Oreochromis niloticus: one gene and its partner. The protein of the gene in region 1 purifies or fractionates together with the protein of each later gene. This does not show direct contact. Links are inferred from orthologs where the notes say so. Each region holds a gene or a part of one and is shown on either strand. Other genes may lie near its edges.

The links.
Region 2: the proteins of mios (region 1) and nprl2 purify together in Homo sapiens (affinity purification with western blotting; 3 studies listed by BioGRID and IntAct, with this or other methods). This does not show direct contact. The link is inferred for Oreochromis niloticus from reciprocal best matches to the Homo sapiens genes MIOS and NPRL2.

The regions. Positions count from the first base shown.
Region 1 is NC_031976.2:33,236,908-33,249,771, reverse strand, and holds the start of mios (GATOR2 complex protein MIOS), read left to right. Parts: upstream 1-8,032; 5' UTR 8,033-8,069; coding exon 8,070-8,888; intron 8,889-10,182; coding exon 10,183-10,672; intron 10,673-11,525; coding exon 11,526-11,624; intron 11,625-11,742; coding exon 11,743-11,997; intron 11,998-12,864. Other genes in the region: col28a1b (collagen, type XXVIII, alpha 1b), read right to left, coding at 364-417, 1,304-1,348, 1,429-1,473, 1,573-1,599, 1,700-1,744, 1,814-1,867, 1,971-2,030, 2,114-2,134 and 2 more. UniProt on the Homo sapiens protein: As a component of the GATOR2 complex, functions as an activator of the amino acid-sensing branch of the mTORC1 signaling pathway. The GATOR2 complex indirectly activates mTORC1 through the inhibition of the GATOR1 subcomplex.
Region 2 is NC_031970.2:17,679,259-17,692,103, forward strand, and holds the start of nprl2 (GATOR1 complex protein NPRL2), read right to left. Parts: upstream 6,617-12,845; 5' UTR 6,292-6,616; coding exon 6,196-6,291; intron 5,974-6,195; exon of another isoform or gene 5,951-5,973; coding exon 5,859-5,950; intron 5,750-5,858; coding exon 5,581-5,749; intron 5,495-5,580; coding exon 5,386-5,494; intron 2,708-5,385; coding exon 2,571-2,707; intron 2,260-2,570; coding exon 2,162-2,259; intron 1,027-2,161; coding exon 990-1,026; intron 541-989; coding exon 447-540; intron 357-446; coding exon 239-356; intron 126-238; coding exon 1-125. Other genes in the region: hemk1 (MTRF1L release factor glutamine methyltransferase), read left to right, coding at 7,240-7,305, 8,724-8,897, 8,984-9,075, 9,157-9,250, 9,351-9,488. UniProt on the Homo sapiens protein: Catalytic component of the GATOR1 complex, a multiprotein complex that functions as an inhibitor of the amino acid-sensing branch of the mTORC1 pathway.

The DNA of each region.
Region 1 (12,864 bases):
TGTAAATTTCAGCGAGGTGATGCAGTTTGTGCTTTGATCACATTCCTTCAGCAGCTGTATCGCACTAAAAACATACCGTAAATAAATCTGCCCTCAGTGTATAAGTAGTTCAATGTAGATCTTTATTGAAATGTCTGTTAGTGTTTCTCGTGCTCAGGTTCTTGTTTTTTCTCCCTGATGCCTCGTTTTCTTTGTGACTCTTTAAATCAACTATTAAATCTCGTCTATTGTTCAGATATTTTTGTTCCTGCACTTTGCATTTGGGTGGCACATCAACTCTGTGAAGAGATTTTGTTGCAGTTTTAAAAGCCAGTCCCACCAAGCAGGAATGACAGAAAATCCATTGCATCTTGAGAAACTTACTTTAGAACCCGATGGGCCTTCAGGACCCACTTCCCCTGGTGGTCCTGGTGCTCCCTGCAAAATAAATACACACTTACTCATTTATAACCTACATAATCCATAACCTTATATTTCACTTCTCAAATGAATCAAACAAAAAGCAGTCATGTATAAATCAAAAAGGAAGCCCCCACACTGTGTGACTGATCTGCAGGTCAAAGCCAACCCACTGCCGCTGAATAAAAAATACAACAGGATTAACATCGACGTTCATGTCTTTCATGCCATTCGATTCTCATGCCTAGCTCGTGAAACAACAAGGTTATACTGACACTGTGCCAGTAGCACAGAGGAGGAAGAGTGCTGCTGTGCGGCCAGGTCGCTGCACTAATCCCATCACACAAAGTCTGTTCCTGCAAAAGAATAATATCCTGCAAGCCTGGATTCACAGCTTTACATAGCCCCAATGGTATCAGGATTACCCATAATCCAATATTCACATTCCATTAGTGCAAAGACGAATAAAAGACAAATTCCACTTCCATTTTTCATATTGAAGAGAATACCGACTGTCGGATGTCGACTTTTCAGGAGTCTGAGCGATGAGTTTTGAAAGTAATGGAACTTAAATTTTGACACTGAAAAATAGAAAATTGCTTGTGATTGAAAAAAGTCCAAATTCATTAAAAATCTGTTGTCTTTAAAGATAAATTATACCATCATCAAATCAGTGGGTGACAACTCAGTGGCTCCATCTTGTATAAACAGTTGGTCTGGTCGCCTTCCATGAATTACATGGACATCTTTTTATCCTCTCATTTCATGCATTCACATGTGTGTGAATAATGTAGACAAAAAGTCAGGAAAGCTTCACAAAAAATGTGGGATTTAAACCAAGGCCCATAATTGTCACAATTCAGTATAAAACAAGACCAGAACTGAGACCGGTGGCCACTCTTACCTGTGCTCCTTTTGGTCCTTGTGGGCCCGGAGGACCCTCTGGGCCCTGCAACATAAAACCTATGTCACTACATGGACAAAGTCTGGGGTGTTTACTGAAACATCTCAGGAAAAAAATGACCATACAGTGTCACCCTTTTCCCCAGGAGCGCCACAGTCTCCTCTGTCCCCCTACAAGACCACAGGACACAACGTTAGACCCTGCAGATATTTTCAGAGGACATCTTTCAATAGTGAGAACAGAGCAGCTGAAAGGTCACAGTCACTCACCTTGTTGCCTTTGTAACCTGTGCGGCCCTGCAAACGATTCAAACAGGTTCAAAATCGATGTTTCATCTCTTAACATGCATGCTGTTTGGCAGTTGTGCAAAAACAAGGGACAAATCTACTTTCTTACCGGTGGACCATCACTTCCAGGTGTGCCATTCAGCCCAGGCTCCCCCTTTAAACAGAGGCCCACTAATTAAACACTGAAATATTTTAGAAAGGCTTTCTTTGTGTCACGACTCACCCTCGCTCCTTTTTGACCAGCTGGCCCTCTGAAGCCTGGGTCTCCTTTTCTACCCTGCAAATATTACAAGTGTTAAGATGAAGCAATGATTAAGCTGTAAAGCTAATAGTGTTTTCCACGTATGAAACTCATCAATGTTTGGTTTCTGAAAACTCACAGGACTTCCTGGAGGACCTCTCTCTCCTCTTTCACACAGACATACTTGGGCCTGTGGACACTATCAGAGCGAGAAAAATATTATAAAGTCAGTGCAACCATTAGCCGTACTTAAGAGATGTTGACTTCCATTTTAATTCTTACCCCTTCATATGCAACTGCAACCTGTGAAAAAAAAACACAGAAGATAAAAAAATATGTCAGTTACGTCCATCTTTTATCTACAGTCTAAGCCTGACTCCCACTGAGGAATGGTACTAATTGCTTGGCAGCAGATGTGTCCTCTACTTTAAAGTATTTTAAAGTCAGTACTTTTCCCCTTTACCTTAAGACCTGTTAAAGTTTCCACTATGATCTGACTGGGTCCAGGTGACATCATAGGTGAATCCAAGCCTTCTGGCGAATGCTTTCATGGCTGTTTTCTTTTTTTTGTGACCACACTGACGTGTCTTAAGCAACACTACACACCAACTTGTCTTTTCTTTTTCCATTTCTGCAAAGTGTACTTGGAAGAAATGTAATGGCATTGCTTGTCTGTGTTGTCAGCAGCTGCCCATGTCTGTAACTTATAACAGGATATTTTTATCCTATCTGGATAAAGGATCTAAATATTTCTGTTTGCCATGAACTATGTAAATAATTTTTTTGTGATTTTCAGACTTGTATGTAGTTTTACTCTTCATGAAATACTATCTGCAGGACACTTGTACTTCACAGAACCTGAAAATCGTCTCTAAAGCTGTGTTTACATTATTATTTCCAGTGAACTAATCCCAACTGGTTTTTGGTTACCTTGTGACAACACATATAGAAAGATATAAAAACACAATACGCTAAAAGACAACTTTACAACAAACAATGAGGATTTGACAACTTTGGGCTTTGGGCACAAGATGAAAACTGAAAATCTGTCATTGTTAATGATGACATTTCATGGTACAATTTTTAAAGAACAATAAATCTAATCATGTGAACTCAACCTAAGCTTTTGGGGCACTTGGGTATGGGAGCTGCCTCAGCATAGCAGGTACGTAACCTCTATAAGTTCTATAAGTTCTACATTTGATAAAACTGGGTACTGTCCTCTGTCATGTAGCTGTCTCTGTTTTGGAAGTGCTAAATGTGATTGAATAAAATCGCACATTAATGAAAAGCAGAACAAGTCGTGCCAGTCTCTCAGACTAGCCGTGACCTCCTGCAGATATTTGACATTTCTGGGTGCTGTGGAAAATGCAAAGCAGTCAGGAAAACACCCTCATGCAGACACAACTCTGTGACTTGAGACGTGAACCCGCTGTGAGGACAGCATGAGCATGAACAAGACTAAACAGAGGATGATCTCTGTAGCCCACTTCCAGACACAGCAGCTGATGTCAATAATTTTAGGAGAGTATGCGGGATGTCAGATACCTAAGTCATATTCTATTAAAAGGAGCTGCTGAATTATAGGTATCAGTAGTGCACATTTGTGTTACAGTGACAGCATCCACATTCTGGTTTCATTTTTTTTTTTTTTAATTACAGTTAAGGTGATTTTCAGGATTGTTAAACTCTTTCAAAAAAGGGAAATTGAGCAATGTAGCACTAAAACATACATCAAAGCAAAGGTTAATTTCTTCTGTTTGTACATAAACCTCTAATCTGTCAAACGCTAAACTTTTAGCCTCTTTTAACATCAACCAGGGAAGAAGTGACTCATTTAGGGCTTGCTGTGTTTAAACTTCTTCTTTAGGGGCCACCACAGGGGTATTTAGAAATACCCTACACCTGGGCGACTCTCTGATAAGAGGTTATAAAGTTTTATTTGTTATACTTTTATAATATTTGCCTGTCATCCACCCAATGCCATAAAGCTACCATGCAAGCAGTTTGCCTGATAGTTCTAAGATACTTTGACTTATGATCTTTTAGGGTAGAAATGCTCACCTTGTGTTTAGTGCATCCTCTGCTCTATTTACTAAGAAATTTAACCACCCAGTCAATTTAAAATAGATTGTTAGCTACACTGCAGCTCTTGTTAACACTCTTCTTTGCTGAGGGCACAGTCAAGAACAAAGATAGCCCTTAATGAAAATTCATAAACTTTTTCTGTGAGTGGTAAAAGAATTCAGGTAAATTAGGTGAAATGATTGGTTTAGTCTTGGACTTTGAGGTTTTACTATATCCTAATTTAGAAATGTTTAATGTGGAGAATTGATTTATTTAATATAAATTTATTTATTACATAATAATATTATAAAAACTTTCTCCTGTATTGTCTTGATGCATGCTCAATCACCCAGGCACCTTATCGCAAGACAGTTATGGATTCAAACTTTCCAGAGACATTTAAGTTAGCTGTATGAAGATGTGGCATAGATAAGCCTTTGAATAGTCGGTAGAACTCGATAGGTACTACACAGTCCCAGTCCTTTTCCAGAACTTTCAAACTAAAACAGGAAGTAACCAAGTAGCTGTGGTAGCACTCATATAGTATATTTTTTGTTTCTCTGGACTGAATCTATAGTCAGCATCTTTATAGTAAGCGTCTTTTTTGCCATTCAGTAAGCTTTGTCAGGCTCTTCAATAACTGAAGTTTATTTTCAAGCACGACGTTTTTCTAAAAAAGCATTTCACCACTCTGATGTTTCTCGACTCTGTACTTGCACCTCTGTGCCTGAGCTCATTTTACGTGAAGCCAACACTCACCATCTCTTTGAGCAGCTTCTCTTCCAGCTGAGAGTCGAGCATACTTTGGACAAACTGCTGAGCAGGTGTGCTGGCGATGGCCCGGAGCTTGGCAATATTCTGCTGGGCAATATCTGATAGCCCAACAGCAAAGAACTTTATGCCATGACCCTTGGCCTCCACAGCAGCTGCAATCACATCAGGGTTACGGGGATGATCGACTCCATCTGTCATTAGCACCGCCACCCTCACGCTGTCCTTTGAGGTCTCATGCACCAGCAGCTGTGAGGCGTTGGTGATGGCGTAGGTGGTATAGGTGCCGTGACCGATGTAGTTCATGGTGCTGACTTGACCGTGAAAATAGTCCAGGTCTTTCCAGGCTGAGAATCTGTGCTCTATGGACACAGTGCTGCTGTACTGCAGTGCAGCCATCCGCACCTTCATCGTCCAGCCGGGTACCTGGAGCATGGCGAGCCGGGTGCTGAAGCTCAACACGAAGGTCTTCTGTTTCTCAAACAGTGATATGGTTGCGCTCTCAGAGCTGTCCAGGATGAACGCCACTTCCAGTGAACATGTCAGACCTACTTGAGAAGGAGATCACAAAAACTCACATGAAGCTAGAAGTATTAGAAACAGGACTAATTTCAGGATTGGCACTCTGACTCCTTTCTAACTTCTTTCCACAAATTCAGTCCCTTCTGCCAGCAGTCGGTATGTATCCATGTACACTGTCAAAAGTGCTCTAATGTCTCGAGGAACACATCGAACAGCTGTGGGTTCAAGTGTGATCATTAATTCATGAAATATTCTGGAATAAACCTGATTCGGGGAAAAAACCCACTCCCAAATTCCTAATACCAGATGCCACAGGAGACCTATAAAGGTCTTGTGTCCTGAGCCGTTTTGGCAGCATGAAGGGAAGCTACACAAATAATAAATACAGAGACTTAATTTTGTGGCAAGTCAGTGTAAGTGCAGCTTGTGGAAAAGTAAAGCAACAGTTTTGAGTAGTTCTACATTACTAAAACTGTCAAGTAAAGGCTCAAGGACCAAGTGAAAGACCCCAAATTGTCAACTTCCAACCTTAGAACTTACAGTTACTTTAGTTAAAGTTCCTCACTTCAGTTGCAATGGGATCAGAGTTAATGGTGTTTGTTTTTGTACTAAATGAAATCAAATTGCCACATGTATAATCCATCCATTTTTTTTACATTTAAAAAAAAAGGCACTTAAAGGAAGGCATCGTGGGTGGATGACTTAAGAACTTCTCATGTAGTTTTATTTTAACTTAAAATTTGATGACTCAACCATTTCATTGGCCTGATTTCACCATCCCTCATTCAACAATTTGTTCTGTCAATGCAACATAGTGACTTTCACCACCAGCATGTGGAGACCTCATCTAAAAATTACCATTTCTTCCCTCATCTTGCAGCCTGTAGTTGTTCCTGCGCCCTGTCTTTCTCCTCTGGCCTGTGGCCTTGTGTAGGAGAGCCAGCAGCAGAAGGCAGACCCCGACTCCTCTGCTCAGGTTTCCCTTCAGCAACATCCTAACAGAGAAAAGAGGAGAATGTTAGGGGGGAAAGCAGTGTATGCAAAGCACAATGAGTTATTTCATCTTTAACAGGATTCCTTTTACTATCATGGACACTGCTAACCACACCCAGTTGCAGATCCCAAAAAAGGGAGCTGTGTTCTGCAACGGCAGCAATTCTAATGGTATTAATTTGCTTAGGTGACACCGTTCCTCCTACTGATAATGCACTTTCTCAAATACTTACTATATTACAGTGCCAACAATATGTAAATGTGTGTAAAACCAGAATAATCTGTGCAAATACTTTTCTGTTAACAGGTTACAAATGCTGCAGAATCTAAACAAATATAAAGTTAAAGCTGCCAGGTGATTGAGAAAAGGTCACAGCAAAGTACCTAGTTTGCAGTGCAAATACTGAAGTTGCCATTCAAACTGTGACACCACGAGTGTCACTACTTTGTAAAAAAAGTTTTAAAAACAAAGCAAAGATATCTTTTTTTTTATTACCTCGAATCTCATTTAGCTGCAGCCAGTGTTTGTAGTCCAGTCAGCTCTTTGAGAGGCATTTCTCCGCGGAACCCCGGGTCCCTATAAACCAGACTGAGATAAACTGAGGACCATCGCATGAGCTGATGTGCTGTGTGTGTCAGAGTGTTTGTAGCCGGGGGCCCTCCCTGGTGCCGCTCCAACATTTTAGTCCAGTGCAACGCTTCATGCCTGACAGAAGGGATCCCGTGAAACTCTTTTGTGCACATTGAGTCCATGCACTGGAATCATTTAGATTTTTGAGACGCCAGATAAATAGCATTTGCAATAGTCATCACTCCAAGTCATAAATAATGCATCTAAAAACCACTGCCAACATAAAATAAAGCAGACTACATTAGTTTGCAGGGATAAAATAATTTTAAAGTATTTTTTTTCTCGGCATCTTGTTTTCCTTAACAAACGTGTCAGTTTTCTGGCTATCATGGGTTGATTACTAAGGAAAATGGTTCTGCAAAAAATCCCAAATGAATTTCTTTCTCTTGCATTTTCCACTCTCCCCCACTAATGTGAAAAGCAGATGAATTGTGGTAGTATGATACTCTTGTACCGCGCAGAAATCGACCTCATTTCAATAACATTGTCAGTCCGACAACTCAACTCTTATTGCTTAAATACATTTAATAAATTAATTAACTTAAATAGTCATGATCTGAAATTGCCTAATTTCTTATATAAAACTGGCTGATTTCGTTGACTTCTTTTCTCTTTTTTATTCACTTAGCACCCTCTGCTGGTAAACCTCATCTTTAGCGGAACATGAAGTAGCTGACGTTGCTAATAACACGGACATGTTTTGGTGTAACACACAACATCCGCTTTGGCTCCAGGTTGCCCCTGGTCGACATGTGTATTTTAAGCTGTATCTCGTGCGTTCCTATAAGTCGTCTTTGTTGTGTTTATGTAAGTAAAACCTCTTCTCGAAATGCTCAAACGGATGTTTTCGACTGCTGGTTAAACTGGCGCGAGCGAAACGGTCACGCGCTTGCTCTCCCTTTACTTGTTAGCATTAGCTTAGTTTAGCTAGCATGTCAACAAACTTAAAAGTAATACTATAGCTGCCCACGGCAGCTTTTTAACATGCTGGGCGATGAATTCAAACCAACTGTGCTACACTTCCACACAGAATTTAGGTTATATTGACGGTTTGGTTCATTGTATCATTACTTTAACATGTTAAAAGACTTCTCAGAACTGTCTGTTGTCCACGTTGCGACCACTGCAGTCGGAGATGTGTAATATTTCTGCGCTGTCTCTGACCTTTGTTCATGTGCTCGTTTGTGTGATATTCTGCCGTATTTTCAGGCTGGAGAGGTTAAACTTCCCTGAAAACCTACTAGCTTCTGAATCATGAGCGGTTCCAAGCCCGACATCCTGTGGTCCCCCCACCACCCGGACCGCTACGTCATCTGTGACTCTGAACTGGGACTGTACCGGATCGGACCTGTGGGCAGCGCAGAAGCCAAGGCTGGCACCCTCCCACTCTCCGAGGAAACTGCTGCTACATTACTGGCCATCAATTCTGACACCCCTTATATGAAATGTGTGGCCTGGTACCCCAAGCACGAGCCGGAGTGTTTACTTGCCGTTGGCCAAGCCAACGGCAGGGTTGTGCTTACCAGCTTGGGCCAGAGCCACAACTCTGCATGCAAAGAGCTGGTGGGGAAAGAGTTTGTGCCCAAACATGCCCGTCAGTGCAACACTTTAGCTTGGAACCCTGTGGACAGCAACTTGTTGGCTGCTGGGTTAGACAAGCACAGGGCAGATTTCTCTGTCCTCATATGGGACATCAGCAGTAAATTGTCCCCAGAGACCAGTGTAGCAGCTGAGAAGATTCGCCTTTCATCTGTCGATTTGGACTCTAGCACAGTGGTGACCAAGCCGTTGTATGAGTTAGGCCAGAACGATGCTTGCCTCTCGCTTTGCTGGCTGCTCCGTGACCCAAAGCTGTTGCTGGCAGGCATGCACAGGAACCTTGCGATATTTGACCTGAGAAACACGAGTCAGAAAACATTTGTAAACACGAAAGCCATCCAAGGTGTGACAGTCGACCCGCACTTCCATGACCGCGTGGCCTCTTTCTTTGAGGGGCAGGTGGCCATTTGGGATCTGAGGAAATTTGAGAAGCCTGTGCTCACGCTGACTGAGCAGCCCAAGCCACTCACAAAGGTAGGATGGTGTTTGTTATAAAGAAAACTAACCAAAGGCCACAGTAATAAGGATGCACTAATATACTAGCTTTGTGTATTGGTCATGTTAACTTTCAGACTTCTGCATTCCTCATTTAAAATTTCTATCATTTATTAATATCTACAAAGTTTGTAAGTTCAATTTTAGTGAAATAAAGGTCAGCATGACAAGTGGCTCATTTAAAAATAAGTGATAACATATGACATATCTTATTTTCATACAAGGCTTCTCATCTGGCTGTGACTCCTTCTGTGTCAAAAAATGTTGTGACATAATTGTATTTTATAACCCAGAATTTGAAAATACTTACTCGAGGAACTACAACCATGATAATGAGTGGGTTTAAAGTTGATTCAATTGCAGTTTAAAAAACAACAAACAAACTGTGTTTGTGTTTTTTTTTTTTTTTTTTTTTTTATCTCTGAAATTTTCATGTGGTTATCTCCTTTTCTGGAAATGCTGGAATTTTTTTTTACCAAATTCAAAATTACAGTGTGTCTGTAACTTGACAAATATTTTCTTACTATTACGGTACAATTTGTTTTGGCTGCATTACATATACTAAAATTATTGTACCAAAAAAGAAGTCAGCTGATTCTGGCAGGGTCAGGTGGGAGGCACAGATTGATTTTTCAGGGAATAACCTCTGGTCATTCCACGCCTCTTCAGCAGTTGCTCAATGCCCCACATTCTGAGAACCACTGGTCTATTAGAAAATAAGATGTCAGCTTGTTTGCTTGTTTGTAACCCGTCAATTTTAGATTGCCTAAATCAGGGGTGTCCAACTCCAGGCCTCAAGGGCCGGGGTTCTGCAGGTTTTAGATATCACCATGGGTCAACACACCTGAATCAAATGATTAGTTCATTACCAGGCCTCTGGAGAACTACAAGACATGTTGAGGAGGTAATTTAGCCATTTGAATCAGCTGTGTTGGATCGAGAACACATCTAAAACCTGCAGGACACCGGCCCTCGAGGCCTGGATTGGACACCCCTGGCCTAAATGTTCAAAGACAGAGTAATGAAATGCTCAAATAATTTTAAACTCTTTACTTGGTCTTTGTCACAAAGACCTGTTTCATTTAAATGAAAAAAGAGGTAATAAATGATATCAAAAATAAGATTAAGATGCATTAAAAATGTCACATTGTTATTTTAAAGGTTTATATTAGCTCAGGGTTTCACAGTCAGGGCATGCTTATTCAGTAGAAGTCTTTTTTTTTTCCACTTTTTATTTTTTTATAGCTGATAAAATTCTGCTTTTTGTTCTCAGGTGGCATGGTGTCCAACCCGTACTGGCCTACTGGCCACGCTAACGCGTGACAGCAACATTATCCGCCTGTACGACATGCAGCACACTCCCACACCCATAGGTGATGAGACGGAGCCCACCATCATTGAGCGCAGTGTGCAGCCCTGTGAAAGTCAGATTGGCAGCTTTGCCTGGCACCCATCCTCTCAGAACCGCATGGTGGTGGTGTCAGCAACCAACCGTGTCATGACTGACTTCACGGTGTTTGAACGTATCTCACTGGCATGGAGCTCCACCACCTCTCTCATGTGGGCGTGTGGTAGACACTTGTACGAGTGTGTTGAGGATTCGGCGGAGGGAGTGGAGAGTATGATTGAGAAAGACATTGCCACTAAAATGAGGGAAAGGGCTCAGTCCAGGTACGGACATGATACCGTCCAGGTGTGGAGGAACCATTTGCTGGCGGGTGGGAAGGATGCCCAACTTAAGTCTTTATGGCATGATCTGTTCTATATCCTTTCAGGTGATGAAATGGTGGAAATATCTGCACGATGGCTTATTGATAATCTGTTTAATGGCAGAGAAAAACAGTCAGCCACCTGTTGAAACTGTATGCAGGTTATTTTTATTACTTTACAAAGCAGAAGTGAAGTGCTTCATTGCTCCGATGATGGTTCTCCTCATTTGAAGGTTTCTCCTCTAAAGACTTTATAGAGTAGATATTTATATCATTATTATTATTATTATTATTATTATTATTATTGTTATTATTACTTCAAAATGTAACCTTTCAAATTAGTTCAGTAAAGAATTCAACGTTTAAAAAGCTTATCATTAAGACTATGAAGCCTATAATGGGCATAATAACACCTTTTATGTTATTCTTATTTAGTGTGCAAACACGAGAGCTTTCTTATTGAACGTTTGGCAAGAAAGTCAAAAAGGATTCTAAAATTACTCCCAAACTGAGTCATTAATGTTGATTCACTGATTAATTAAGTTTTGAATCATTTTTGGTTGCCTATAAATACATTGAATAGTTCTAAACATCCTCAGATGGTGACAGATTAAAATGTGGGGCAGTGTTTGAATGCATCTCACTGGCGTTATGTCCCACCTGCGCCCCCTGGTGGGATATAACGTCACTGCAGGCAGTGCTTGAATAACTAAGGAAAAATGAATGAATGCAAACGATTTATAACCATAGTAAAAATAACTTAAACATATTAACACATATAACATAATACATTATTTACTTTTGTCGTTGTTCAAGTTTAAAATGATTAATGTTGTAGTTGCCTTGTTATGTGCCTGTATTATGTTGTGTGGACTGCACACTGTTACAGTTCCTATGAAAGTATCACATATGAAACAGTGTGCGGAGGATATGGAGCTAAAACTTCAGGGGAACGTACAGTCTGTGGTTTATTCTGGGATTAAGAACATTGTCAAGACAACCTCAGGTAAAACAAATAACCAACTGATTGTCTGTGCCACAGGACACTTCACAGTAACTGTGTTTATTTGAAATTTCATACACTGAAAAACTGACTTCCTGTGTTTGTCTTTGTGGTCCCAAAGGGACAACCGAAAGCCGCAGGTGTTGGATTGGCTCGGACCGGCAGACAGATGTGCTGCGGTACCACAGTGAGGAGCGCTGCCTTGCCCTGCGGCTCTGTGGCTGGATCAGCAGGGGAACTGACACAGATGTGGAGAACTTCCTGCGATCACTGGAACAGGAACACGAGTGGGAGCGGGCAGCTGCTGTCGCTCTGTTCAACCTGGACATCCGCCGGGCAATCCAGATCCTCAACAAGGGAGCCATGGCAGAGAAAGGTGAGAGCTTTTAGGGACGAGAGGAAGGCGAGAGAAAGTAATTTGATGTAAGGGGAGATACTTTAGACAGACTACATAACTGTACATGTATCAAATATATGTAATTGTAATTGTTTGGTCTTTAAAATGTAAGAAAACAATGATCAAATCCTAATCACAGCTTTTCTATTGCTTCCATGTTGGCTTGTTTAATTTGAACAAACAGTTATTGATGAAAATTGTGTTCTACATCAAGCAATCTCTTGAAAAATGAAATGGAAGTCTTTGAAAAAAGGGGAATTTCATTAATGTAACAGCAGGAATCACATGTTTTTTACACTGAAGTTTAATGAAAATGGAGAGAAATGGCTGCTGTTTACACACGCCTTAACTGAGGAAAAAAAATTACACAAATGTAGGTCAAACGCTTTTCTGTTGTGTGCTCTAATAAGTGTTTCCTGAGTAAGACTGACAGAGTGATTCATTAGATAAGATGTGTCAACAGAGCCATCTCAGGACTTTCAGCGTTGCAGCTCTGACTTACAATGTATTGATTCCAATGTACAACCTTAAACCAACATTTTGTTATACCAGAGTAGTTCAGTTAGGTATTTTCCGAGCCTCACCCGGTCATATATCTGGAGGTAATAATATGTAATAAAAACTGTGCTGTATAGAGATTTCTGTTAGGGTTTATGATAGGTCTTACGTTGGGAGGCAAAGTCATTAAAAGTTCTTTTATTTAGCAAGAAATTGCAGTTTAAATTTGAAATAAAGCCCACAGTATGACAAAAGGGATATGGAGCTGGTTTAGGATAGGTTAGCCTTAAAAAATAAAAAGTAGGACACTTTTTTCCCCCTTCTAAGCAATAAAATCATCACCTTGAA
Region 2 (12,845 bases), on another chromosome or scaffold:
CATCGTAACTATGACAACCGGTATAGAGTCGAGGAGGCCTGCTTCTCTCATCGCGGATCACCTTCACGGGATACTTCTGCAGCCGTCGAATAAGACACTTCATTAGTCCAAACTGGATCAGCCTCCTGAGGAGAAACAAGTGACGTGACACACATACAGTATGAGCCAGTGCCACTCTGACCTGAATTCATAGGAGCGCTAAGTCTTTTCAGGAACTGATAATTTGAGCGACGCTAACCTCTCGTCGACCCTTTGAAGCTGCTGTGAGTAGCGTGAGCAAAGGTCTCGCACTGTTGTTCCCGGACTTAGCCCACAATACAGCTGGAACACATCTCTTAGACTCGCGCGTTTCTGACCTGACAGTGACAGGGCAAAGCTGCACAGTTAACGTCACAAAATAAATGAAGATTAACACTTGTGTTTTAATGGACATGACCCCAACTAACCCTGCTTAGTGACGTAGTTAAGGCACTCCTCCTGAATGGACTTGTCATCTATGAGGCTCTGGACTTTTGGGGTGGTGCAGTACACATTAGAGTACTAGAGAAAGACAAGAAGGCAACCAGAACAAGTCATCAGGAAGTATTAGCCACTTTTAAATAACTTTAATTTTTTCACAGCAGAATATCAGAAAACTAGAGCCTTCCCTCACTTAAAAAACCTGCCCTAACATTTTGTATTCAAAGTGGCGCATAGAGAGCAATGTGCAGTATATAAATTGACTTTCTTTTGAAATACATGAACCCATTTATCAGAATGGCCTTCAGAACTGATGCTTGCTTTACGGTTATTATTTCTGCACAAAAAGATCCACTTTCACAAAAACAGAAAAAAAAAAAAAACATTTCCAGAATAAAGAAGGAATAATATGAAAAAAAATTACAACTTTTCAATTAAAACTAACATCCCGCAGACGGCCCTAATGGTCCCTGATAAACTGTTCCACTACACTCATATATGTGTGATGTGATGTGAGATTAGTTTAATACCTGGAAAATTGACACCAGAGTCACAACACCATAGTACCTGTGAAGTTAAAAAGAGAAGTAATTACATCTTTTTGAAGTGTATTTTGACTACAGAGTGAAAATGCAAGTACACCCCCTCATTCGGTAGCTTGAAAAACCACCTTTAGCTGCAATAACTTCAGCTTATCGTTGCCTCTATGACTTTATCAGTCTCTCGCGTCATTGTGTTATAATGTTTCCATTCACTGAGGTTTGTGGGCATTTATTTATGCACAGCTCTCTGAAGGTCCCACAACAGCACTTCAATCAGGTTTGGACTTTGACTGGTGATTGCAACATCCTGATTCTTTTATTTTTCAGTCATTCTGTTGCAGATTTGCTGCTGTGCTTTGGATCATTGTCCTGTCAGATAACCCAGTTTTGGCCAAGCTTTACAGTAGCTTTGGGACAGATGGCCTCACATTTGAGTCTGGAATATTTTGGGATACACAGGAGTTCATGGTTGACTCAATGACTGCAAGGTCACCAGATTCTGTGGCTGCAAAGTCCAAAACATCACCCCTCTACCACTGTGCTTGACAGCTGGTGTGAGGTGTTTGTGCTGATATGCCGTGTTTGGTTTTTGCCAAACAGCGCTGTGCATTCTGGTTAAATGTCAACACTTTTGGTCTCATCTTTCTAAAGGACATTGTTTCAGAAGTCTTGTGGTTTGTTCAGATCCAACTTTGCAAACCTACACTGTGCCGCCATGTTCTTTTTACAGAGAAGAAGCTACCTCCTGGCAGTCCTTCCAAACAAGCCATACTTCTTCAGTCTTTTTCTAATTGTGCTGTCACGAACTTTAACATGCCAACTGAGCTCTTGTGTGTGTGTGTGTGTGTGTGTGTGTGTGTGTGTGTGTGTGTGTGTGTGTGTGTGTGTTTAAGGTTTCTCTGAGTACTGTACGGCCTGACCTTGAAGTGAATCTGCTGGGATGTTAACCTACAAGAGGTCCTGGGAAGATTGTGGGATTGTGTTAGCACCCACCTGAATGGTCCAGAGCAGGAAACTATTAAAACTTCTGCATTTACAGAGGTGTTCACACTTGGTTTATCAGTTAATCAAAACAACGACATAAAACAGAGTTCTGTGATGAAGCAGTACGTGTGTGAGGTTACTGAAGAGTACAACTGTATTTGCTGAAAAATACTTACAGGAGATTCTGCACTGCGATACGAACAAGATTCAGCTCAACGTCTGCTTCAGCAGAAATTTTCTGGATGTGTCTAAATCCATCGATGTAGGGAAGAATCTGCAGTTAGCAGCAAATAGATAAGGGTTAGAGGCACGTAGTGCTATTTGCATTACTGGTTAACTAAATGCTGTAAACATGTTAACTTATAAAAGCAATAAAACAGTATTGTACCAATAAAGAGCATCTTGTCTTGCACTAATGCCTTCTTTCAAATCATAAAACAAAGGATATAAAAACGTGCTTATATCACTTCCAGCACAGCTGATAACAAGTGTTTAAACACTGATCTTTCTTCCAAGCACTTCTTAGAGTGCTATCAAATACCTCTCAAGAGCTGCAGCCAGAGGTTGTTGACATTGAAAGCCTACCTGTTGAGTGGTGAGATCCCACTGAGACTTGATAAAATGATCTTTGCACTGGGTAAAGACTGGCACGTCGTACTCCTGAACTATTGGGGGGTCTTTTCGCAGCTGGATCAGCTTTAGATGAATGGTGTTAGACTCATCTTAAAAAGGATACAACAAACAAGAGTAAGAGCGGTTTAAAAAAAAATCGTTTGATGACATCTGTTGCTGCCAACCAACATGTGAATACTGCCTATGTGCAGCTGGTAAATTCTTAAAATAAAATTTGACTCAGAAACATCAGCCTGCATTTCCCATCTCTGAATTTCTAAAAAGAGTAACAGTCAGAGCAAAGCTGCTTGCATAGTGGCACTGCTTTGTCTTGACTTACATTAACTAATCAATCCAAACAACCACATAATTTCACTTTGGACCATAGCCCAGGCAGCATGTTGGTTGGCTGATAAGGGCTTATCAGAGATATTGGAAAACTTGTTGTTAGGGAACATAATGCATAACAAAGCTCTCCTCAGTGGAAAGTGTGTGCTGTCCTACTGCCTGGATGTCTGCCACGCAGGGGCAACTACTAAAACCAGGAAGGCTATGCAGAAGGTAATTAATACTGCCCCCAAAATAAGTGGCTGCTCTCTGCCACTCCTGGAGATCCTCTTGTCTCAGGAAAACAAGGGCCATCACAGGTGACCCTTTGTGTCCCGCCACCCCTGTTTGACCCGCTGCCCTCTGGTCGGAACCTCCAGTAAATCAGGTCCCCCACCTCCAGACAAACAGTTTCTTCCCCTGGGTCATTCGGACTGTTGACAAACACAACCCCACCCCTGCCCTCCCACCCACCAACCAACCAACCAATCTGAGCCATGGCCTGAGTAAGCCTCATCAGCTTTTATCTTGTCCTGTATATATTTCTCCTGCTTGTTATTTATTCCTACTGTCTTACTATTTCTATTCTATTCCGGCACAGTTGGTGTGGATGACTCACAATTTAGTTGTACATGTATAATGAACATAATGGGCTATTCTATTCTATCCTATTCTATTCTAGATGCTTGAGTTCATTTAGAAATGCTGTAATGACATGATTTGTCTAGTAGAGCAGCTGCAGCTCTATAGTTTATGATCCTTTCAGTATGATCTGCAGCACAGTAACAGAGCACATGCCACAGTATTACTAAGTACATGGACATTATTACAGTTTTGGGCTTTTAAAGATTTCTCTGAGCTTTTCTTTTTCTAGGGTGGAATGGACATACAGCAGGCATCCTTAATGTACTTAAAAAATGCATGTTGTATTTACTCTAGTTATTGTCTAATATTAATATGTATTTGATGGAGTACCAAAAGGTTGATTCTGTTCATCTGGATGTAGCGTTTTTAATGGGAAAAACGTTTCGTCACTCATCTAAGTGACTTCTTCAGTCTCAGCTGACTGCAGGTTTCCCCAACCTTATAAACAGTACATTTGCACAATAACTGAAACCAGCCCACTGAATGAACAATGGGCTTGAGGTCAGTTCCTTGATCATTAATATGCAAATTGCCCATTGATCAACAACCACTGATCAAAGCCCATTGATCAAAGACCTGCGGTCAGCTGAGACTGAAGAAGTCACTTGGATGAATGACGAAACATTTCTTCCATTGAAAACGCTACATCCAGATGAACAGAATCAACCTTTTGGGATTTACTTACCTGGATGATTGAGCATGCATCAAGACATATTTGATGGAGTAATCAACTTTACCCGGATAACAGCTTTAAGTCTCTGCAGCGTCTGTATGTACTGATTTTTAATTACACAACATCATATTTGCGTTAATCTAGCTATAAAAGTAGACGGTAGGAGGTCGAAGCACATTTGAACTTTGGACCTCCACAGCCTGAAACCCACAGACTGTACAGGATTCAGTTATAAACGCTGTGTACATTTTGTATTTACTCAGGTCTTTAGTCTTTGTCTACAATTAAAATTTATTTTATGATCTAAAACATGTAAATGTGACAAATCAGGAAGGGAGCAAGTACTTTTTTACAGTACTGTAGCTCAGTCTTGGTCTCATCTGTCGATAAAACCTTTCTCCAGAAGGCATTTGGCTTATCTGTGTGGGCAGCTGTCAACTATGGAGCAGGGGTTTCTTTCTTGGTCGGCACCTATTTATGGCTGCTTTGAGCCTTGGTGGTTCCTGGGCTGTTCCTGAAAATCCTAACCAATTTCCTCTCATGTGATGTTGACAATCTTCCAGACTTCAGCAGAGTGTTGACACATCAGAATACATTGTACTTACATGTAGTTGTTTAAACAGATTATCTTGGAATCTGCAGTCAAACTTGTGGAAGGGAAATCTATAATTTCCCTTCCTATACCCATTGTTCTGAGTATTAGCCAATCTAATGGGTGATGTCAAACAAGCGTTTTTATGCTGGAAAAGAGAAAGTACCAGGAAAATCATGTAAAACGTGTAAATCATGATCACTAACAAGAAGTTAGTCTCGGAGAGTTAAAAGACATTGTAGAAACTTCAGCACCACTTATTAAAAGATTTAAGTGAATGTGTATATTTGAGTCTGTATGTATACTTCTGACCCTGTGTGGATTAGAGAAAATCCAAAATAAATTCTAATTCTTGTTTTTTTTAAGTCATTAAAGATTTAAAATAATTCCACCCCGGAAAAAAGAACAGTTCAACGAAACAGTCCAAAATTACCATGACATTCATGCCCATGATGAATGTGTGTAAACGTGTGACCACAGCTATATATTAAAAAGATATACTGCTCCTTGCCACAGATAAAACTTATAGCCAGTAAGATGCCAAATAATACCAATGGGTAGGCTGCAGGCTCCTGTGGCATTAAGATCCTCTAACAAAGTCGACATAATGGGTAAAAGCTTCTGTTTGCTCTCCTCATTGGATATAAAGCCGCTCTCCAGCTGCAACACAACAAGACAGAAAATCTCTAAGAAATCATCCTGAAGAAAGCGATCACATGAACATGTGAAAATATGATACTCTTTACCTCCAGAGTTGTAAGGTACCCAGATAGCTTCTTAACAATAGGCTCCAGGCCGCAAGTATTGGTCTGGGCATCGCAAACAAGGCCGAGGTTAAACAGGAGGGCATTTCGGCTATATTTCTTATGTTCGATGCACACGGGGCAGCCAATTAACTTTTTTCCCATTGCAGTGCTATGATTAAAAAAAGAGAGATTGGTTTATTAAGTTAATACACTATTATTTAAATACTAAGGACTTCAAACAAGGCAGGGAGACAGACGAGCAGGATAAGACTACATACACTGTTATTAATTTGTTTTGTAGCTCTGGCTTGGTGATGATATAAACCTGAACGGTGTCAAAGAGCTCCCGTGAGATGTACTCTTCTGGAACCTGTTAGGACACAGTATGACAAACTATACCCAATAAGATACATGAGCTCAGACGGATTATGCAGAGTACACGTCAATGCCAAATTACTATGAAGGATTAAATACCTGCCTCACACGTTTAAAACACACCCAGGGCACGAACAAGCTCGCAACTGGGGCAGTTATAAAGACAATCATAACGACAGTGGATATATAAAAAAAATAAAATAAAATAAAACTACTTTACCAGACCATCTGCACACTTACCTGATATGTTATCTTGGGTCCCAGAGTAGGGTGAAACTCACTGAAAAATATACACTCTATTCGAGTGGGCATGCCCATCATAGATTTTATCCTCATGGAGAACTAATCCAGAGGTGTGTAAACCCTGCTGAGCCCTATCAACTTGCCCCAAATTGCGTTAACAAGGTATCTCCTGTGTGTTTCCTCTGGGTCTTCCCAGTTTATTTACAGCAGCATGAGCTAGCATGTAGCTTTAACGTTTAAAAACAAGCTAGCGACGTCCTTCGGTACTTAAAAGCAGGTCTAAAGTTAAAAGACGCCCTATAAAATCTGTTATTAATGTATTAAGCAGAGGTTATGGTCACCCAGGCATCAAACTATTCAATAACTCGACACATCAATGCATGCAAAAACCAGACAGGGAAGAACAACAATAATATCGCGTTCAGGGACACCCAGTAACTTAGCCCTGGAATAAAAACTGCCGTTGCAAAAACTGTAAAGGCAACAATAAGACAGAGGAAGTCGTATGTATGTAGCACCAATAATGTTTTAAAATTAATATAAAAGTAACACGAACTCTGTTGTCGTATAAAAACGCTTTAAAGTATTGGGCCCCGAACAATTGCACAACACTAAGGAAATTTTCTCTTTTAGACAATTTAAAGGTTTCGAATAGTAGTATTTACCAAATGTAATACTACTTTTATTACTTGCTAATGACTTTTACATTTATAGATGCTATTTTACCATCTTACTTTACAGACTTAACGTCTATGACGGCAATGCTTTATATGTTTTACAGTCCGTGAAAGCAACGTCGTTCAGTAGCGTCAGCGCTGCGCAGACTGCGCCGCAGCCGCTCTCTGTGCCGCGTGCAGGACACATTTCGAGCCCCGCTAGTTAGCTTTCCGACACAGAAAAATGTTTGAATTTCATACAGGGCCGTAAAGTGTAGCATGTTGATCTAACCGACTACTGCCGCCATGCAGCGAGTTCAGCCCGAGAGCGCACAGACTCCGGAAACCCAATGAATAACGATGTAAAGACTTAATACTGTTAACCATGTGGACAAGGTCGCTGAGTACAAGCTACTACAGATGTTTTGGGTGCAGGAGTGGTGGACCAAAGGTAACTGGTCAAGTTATTTTTTTGACTTTTTTTCCCGGAAGTCGACACGTTGCGTCCAACGTGTTGAACAAACAAAAGCATGTCAGTGTCACGGCTTTAAAAACCAACCAACAGTCCAAACCTGTTTCCGTTGCCTTGCTAACTGGAAATATTACTCACATTACAAACTGACGCACCTGTAAGCACAGACCAAGTTACATGACTTTCTTGAACTGTTTATCAGTTGATTTCCATTGACGCAACTGGACCAAATCTGTTTTCTGTTATCTTCTTTTTAATAAAATAAAGTGGCAGGCACACACATTACAGAGGCAGCAGAGCTCAGACTGACTCAAGCCTTTAGGAAACTTCAGGAAAACATTCCTGCTGTTCTCGATAAAGCTTTACAAAAGCTCTCCTGCTTGTTGACAGGTGAACACACCTGTCTGCATTCCTCAGACTTATCAGTATCAAACCTTCCTGCTGCTTGCTGTCTGCTGGATTTGAAATTGTACTTGCTATTTATTGAAGCCGTTTGCACTATTATATGCTAGTATAATTTATTGTTTGCACAATCCCAGCCTTATTTTGTATTTATTTGTCTTTCTTTTGCTTCATTTTTTTTTAAATCACTGTTGCATATAAAATTTTGCACTACTTCACATTATAAGGCCTTTATTATGAGCCTGTGGTACTTTCAAGCAATTTTATTGTAGGTTATAGTTCTTTATGCTCCTGCTATCACATAGTAATTTCCCCTGCAGGATCAGTAAAGTGATGATCAGTAAAGTATCTATCTATCTATCTATCTATCTATCTATCATGACACATATCTTATACCCTATACTAAATAAATACTATATAAGCTTAAATAACTCAAATAAATAAATAAAAGGATTATTGTCCATATACATACAGTAACTAATAATAACAGTTCTCTCTTACTGGATTACATTAAACTGTGTGGAGATGTAGTAATGTAAGTTAACTTGACTTACAGATTCCCTATTAACCCCGCGGTTATAGGGAGGAAGTGAAAATTAATTATGACTTGTCAGTCAGACACATGTTATGAGTAATTGTGAGTGGTGTAAATAAATCATGATGATTTCCAAAGTTGCCGGAAATTCCCCAGAGGAGATGCTGAATGGGAGTCTAACATCAGTGTTAAAAAAACGCAGTTGGTTTCTGGATACTTGGAAATTTTATTTAAACTTTAATGTAACGGGTGCCAGTTTGGCTCCCTGGTTGAGCTGGTGAACATGTGCCATATGGTTCGGAACTCAGCAGCCTGGGTTTGAGTTCAACCCTCAGCCCTTTACTGCGTGCCTTCCCTCGTCCTTTCTCCCTTCTTTCCTTTCTACTCCTCACTGCTTCACTATCAAAATAAAGGCAATAATGCTCGCTATAAAAATAAATCCTAAGTGTAATGCTTTTAGGTACTTTGGAGGTCCCATGCTGTCCGTACATGCAGCGCTCCAGCCTTACCCGCAGGCAGGATTACACCACTTCAGGCGGTGAACTTATGGAAGAGGCACTTTGAGGAGAGAGCTGTGACGGAGCCTGAGCTGTCCAGCCAGTACATCATTGCTCATCTTCTCGGAGCTAAAACTGTAATTTGCTGAATCTACATTGCCTCAGCACTTGCACTGACATGCAGTAAACGTGGATCAAGTTCACATAGCGTTTCTTTATCCAGATAGAAAGTCTTGAGCAGGAGAGATTAACAGAGTTTCTCAGCCGAGAACAAACAGAGCAGATATGGAAGCTCTGCACCAGACGTCTCTCCAGGTGAGTTTGTGCATAGATCTCTCTATATGCATTTAAATGATTTTCAATGAAAATTTTTACATGGTTTCATGTGTGGGTTAGGATGCCCGTGCAGTACGTGATTGAAGAGTGGGACTTCAGGGACCTGACGCTGAAGATGAGGCCTCCTGTGTTCATACCACGACCTGAAACGGAGGTAGAAGAAAAGTCGAGGCAGCGCATGTTCACAGTGAAGACCCAGCGAATGATCACACATAAGCCAAAATGTGATTTTTATTTCGTCTTTGCTGATGCAGGAGTTGGTCGAGCTGGTGCTCAATGATCTGCAGATGAAGACTGAGATGGGCGTGCCTGATAAGATGGAGCCTACGTGCCTGGAAGTGGGATGTGGGTCTGGTGCCATTTCTCTTAGCCTGCTGAAGACACTGCCTCAGGTAGAAATTTGTGTTATAAGTTTTCAGATGAGTGGAATTCCAATAAGGCACACCACAGGAAAAAGGCTGTTTAACTTATTAATGAATTCCCCCTCACTTTGGGTCTTAATACACTGACAATGAGTCAAATTTTTCATTACTCCAGTGAAATTTATGCAGTGTATTGAGGTTTCTCATTGGTTGTGATATAACCACTGGTTGCTAGGGAAAAATGTGTATTCCCCCAACTGGTTCTCAGTTCTTCCTGGAGATTTCTACCCTCACTGGGTGAAATTGGTTGCATGGAAGCGCCAAGTTATTGCTGTGGTTGCTTTAGAGATTGCCGTTGTTGCCCTTCAGGCGTAAAATTTAAATTATATTTTCAAATGAAATAAAATAAGACATATATGAAGTCTAGACTAAGGCATAAAAATGTACCTTTACTCTGTTTTCTTGGAAAGCTTTCTGACATTAAAAGGAGGCAAGTTTTTGTGCTGCTAAATCCAGACGTTATGATAGTGTCGATTTTAATAATTAATATTAATTATAATTCAGTGTTCCACCTAACAACCCTCAGGTCAGTGGATCAGAGTTTAATGGCCCGTGTGCATTTTTATTGGCTTGTGAAAAAAGCTTTCATTTTTATTTTTTTTAAATATTTTTGCAATTTAATTAGCAAAGTATGTGATATTATTGCAGGTATCAAATGCCGTCAGCCTTCAGCACGCTGTATAATTGAACCAGTCTGGTATCAGACTAAGTTAACAGTTCATCTGCATATTGTAATACAACTTCTGGAGGCTTTCTGATTTTGACTGTGTAAAACTTATTGCAAATTCAAGAGTGGAGAATAGATTTATAGTTTGTCACATTAATATAGTGAATCCTGTCCAACACTACTATTGATATCAATAAATATGTTCTTTAGAACGTCCACTGACATTTCTAAGTGTGCTACTGGAAAGCACACAAATGTAAAATTATCCATGCATCCATCCATTTTCCCCTACTTATCCTTGTCAGGATCACGGGGAGGCTGGAGTCTATTCCAGCTGCCATAGGGCGAGAGGTGGGATACACCCTGGACAGGTTGCCAGACTGTCACAGGACTAACACTGGCAACACTAACCATTCCCACTCACATTCACACCTATGAGCAGTTTAGAATCACCAATTAACCTAACCCCACTAACTGCATGTGTTTATATTGTGGGAGAAAACCAGAGTACCCGGAAAGAACCATCCTCGACAGTAGGAGGAAAAATCGTCATCAAAGAAAATGGGCAAAACAGAAGCTCCACTCCCTTTAAAATATACATGTCCACTCTTGCCTGTTTATTTATTCTCTCTCTCTTTTTCTCCCTTTCTCTCCCTCTCAATGCTCCTCTCTGAGACTTTGTGCTGTCACCCAAAAGTTGAATGTAACAGTGAAACAGAGTTTGCAAAGCAATAAAAGGCATAAACTGATCCATGTTTATAACAATATTCAGACTGAATACGGGCTGCTACGGGACATAGACTTCCTTTTGACTTGCTCTCAGTTGGATCTGGAGCTGTAGTGTAGACAAACAATGAAGCGCAGAACAGGAATAGACATCTATAACAAACTAAAATAATAAACTACATCAGCCCCTTTTGCTGGCAGCTAGCGATATACCAGCAGACTAATGGCTCAGAAAGCTAAAATTAGCTAATAATCTTGAGTGATTTAGGCTACATTAGCTAACGTTTTTGACGCTATTTAGAGAACAAATAAAAATAAGCGGACACTTTCTAAGTCACAACATCGCCCCTGCATTATCAGAACAGTTTGCACTTTTGCTATATTTCAGTTAAAGTGTGTTTTAAATCTGCATCACTCATTTGTGTTATGAAATTGCCTCTCCATCTTCTTTCTGCTGCAGCAACGACAGACTTATTTAGTCCTTTAATGACAAACTGCCCTGCTGAGGCAGTAACGCCTCTGTGTGAGCGCACTGTGACATCATGACACCAACAACGCTGGGCAGTTTTAGAGGAGTTAGCAAAATATAGCGTTAGAAGACAATGCCAGAAAATAATATTAAAATGTATTATCATTACTACTATTATTATAGTTATTTTTAGGGATGCTGTGATGAAATATATCTATTGTAGGACTGTTTTTAGTCGCAAATGAGGGGGAAACACTTGCGTTTACATCGTTTAACACATGCTTCAGAGCCAAGCGTTAAATGAAGCATTGAATTATTCGCACTAGTTTATAGACAGGTCTGTCACTACCATTCAAACTATGATCACAGCAACATGCTGTAACACAAAGCGATCACAATGAGTTTTGTGACAACCAGTCAGAGAATACATGTTTTTCCCTAGCAACAGGTGGTTGTCAGGGGGTCAGAGTCCGGTCTTTAGGCATGTGTGGCTGCAGCTTTAACAATTATTTTCCCAGCGACTGCCATCAGCCTTCAGCAACCACTTGCAATCGGTCAGGGTAAACTCATTATTCCTCCATGACCCGGAGGTTGCCAGATGGTCACTGACAGGTCTTTAAGCCTGTGTGACCGGGGCCTTATTCGCTTGATCCTACACTGTCACCATGACAGTCCAAATAAGCTAACAACTGAATGTCTGGCAGTTAGTGGTCATGTCTGCAAAATCTCAAGACCCATATTTTTTTTGTTCCTCATTAACATCTGTCAGATGAGGTTGTGTTTTGAACATCTGTGATTTTGATCAGGATCCTCTTTGCAATCAGTAACGTTGTGTACAGACGTTCATGTTCTCTTCAGGAAGTTGTGACATTTCCTGTAGCACCAAGCATTTTCAAAACTAATCCCATATAACAAGCAAATGTCAGCTTGTTTAGATGCTGAACATGATGCATCAGTTCGAGAAAAATTACAAATTATGAAAAACAACAATGTAAGTTGGTGGGCAGTCATGTGTTATGAGAACAGTTTCAATCCTGGCATTAATTCTCTAAGTTGAATAAATTCCTCTGGAGGAATGGAACACCATGCTCACCTCGGTCAGGTACTGACAGGGGTGAATGTCATGGCCTTATTATACACTCAAACTGCTGTTTGAGCTTTTCGATCCATAGCCATTGGAAAGTGTTGCTCACTACTATTGTCAGCTTAAGTCTAAATAGATGATTGTTACTCTTGCCTTAACCTAACAGTGAGCATAGATACAAAGGCTGCAGCTTTTTATGTGTCATTGAGTTATTCTAAAGAATATTTGACAGTGGATTCTTTAGGCTGAGCTAATTGAGTGTTTTTTCGAGGCTTGTGATGACCGTATGTCAAGTTTCATTTTTTAATGAATTTATTTATTTACTATTAATAGATTATAACAGTGAAGGACCGGACAACCACAGCGTTACAGTTTGTTAAG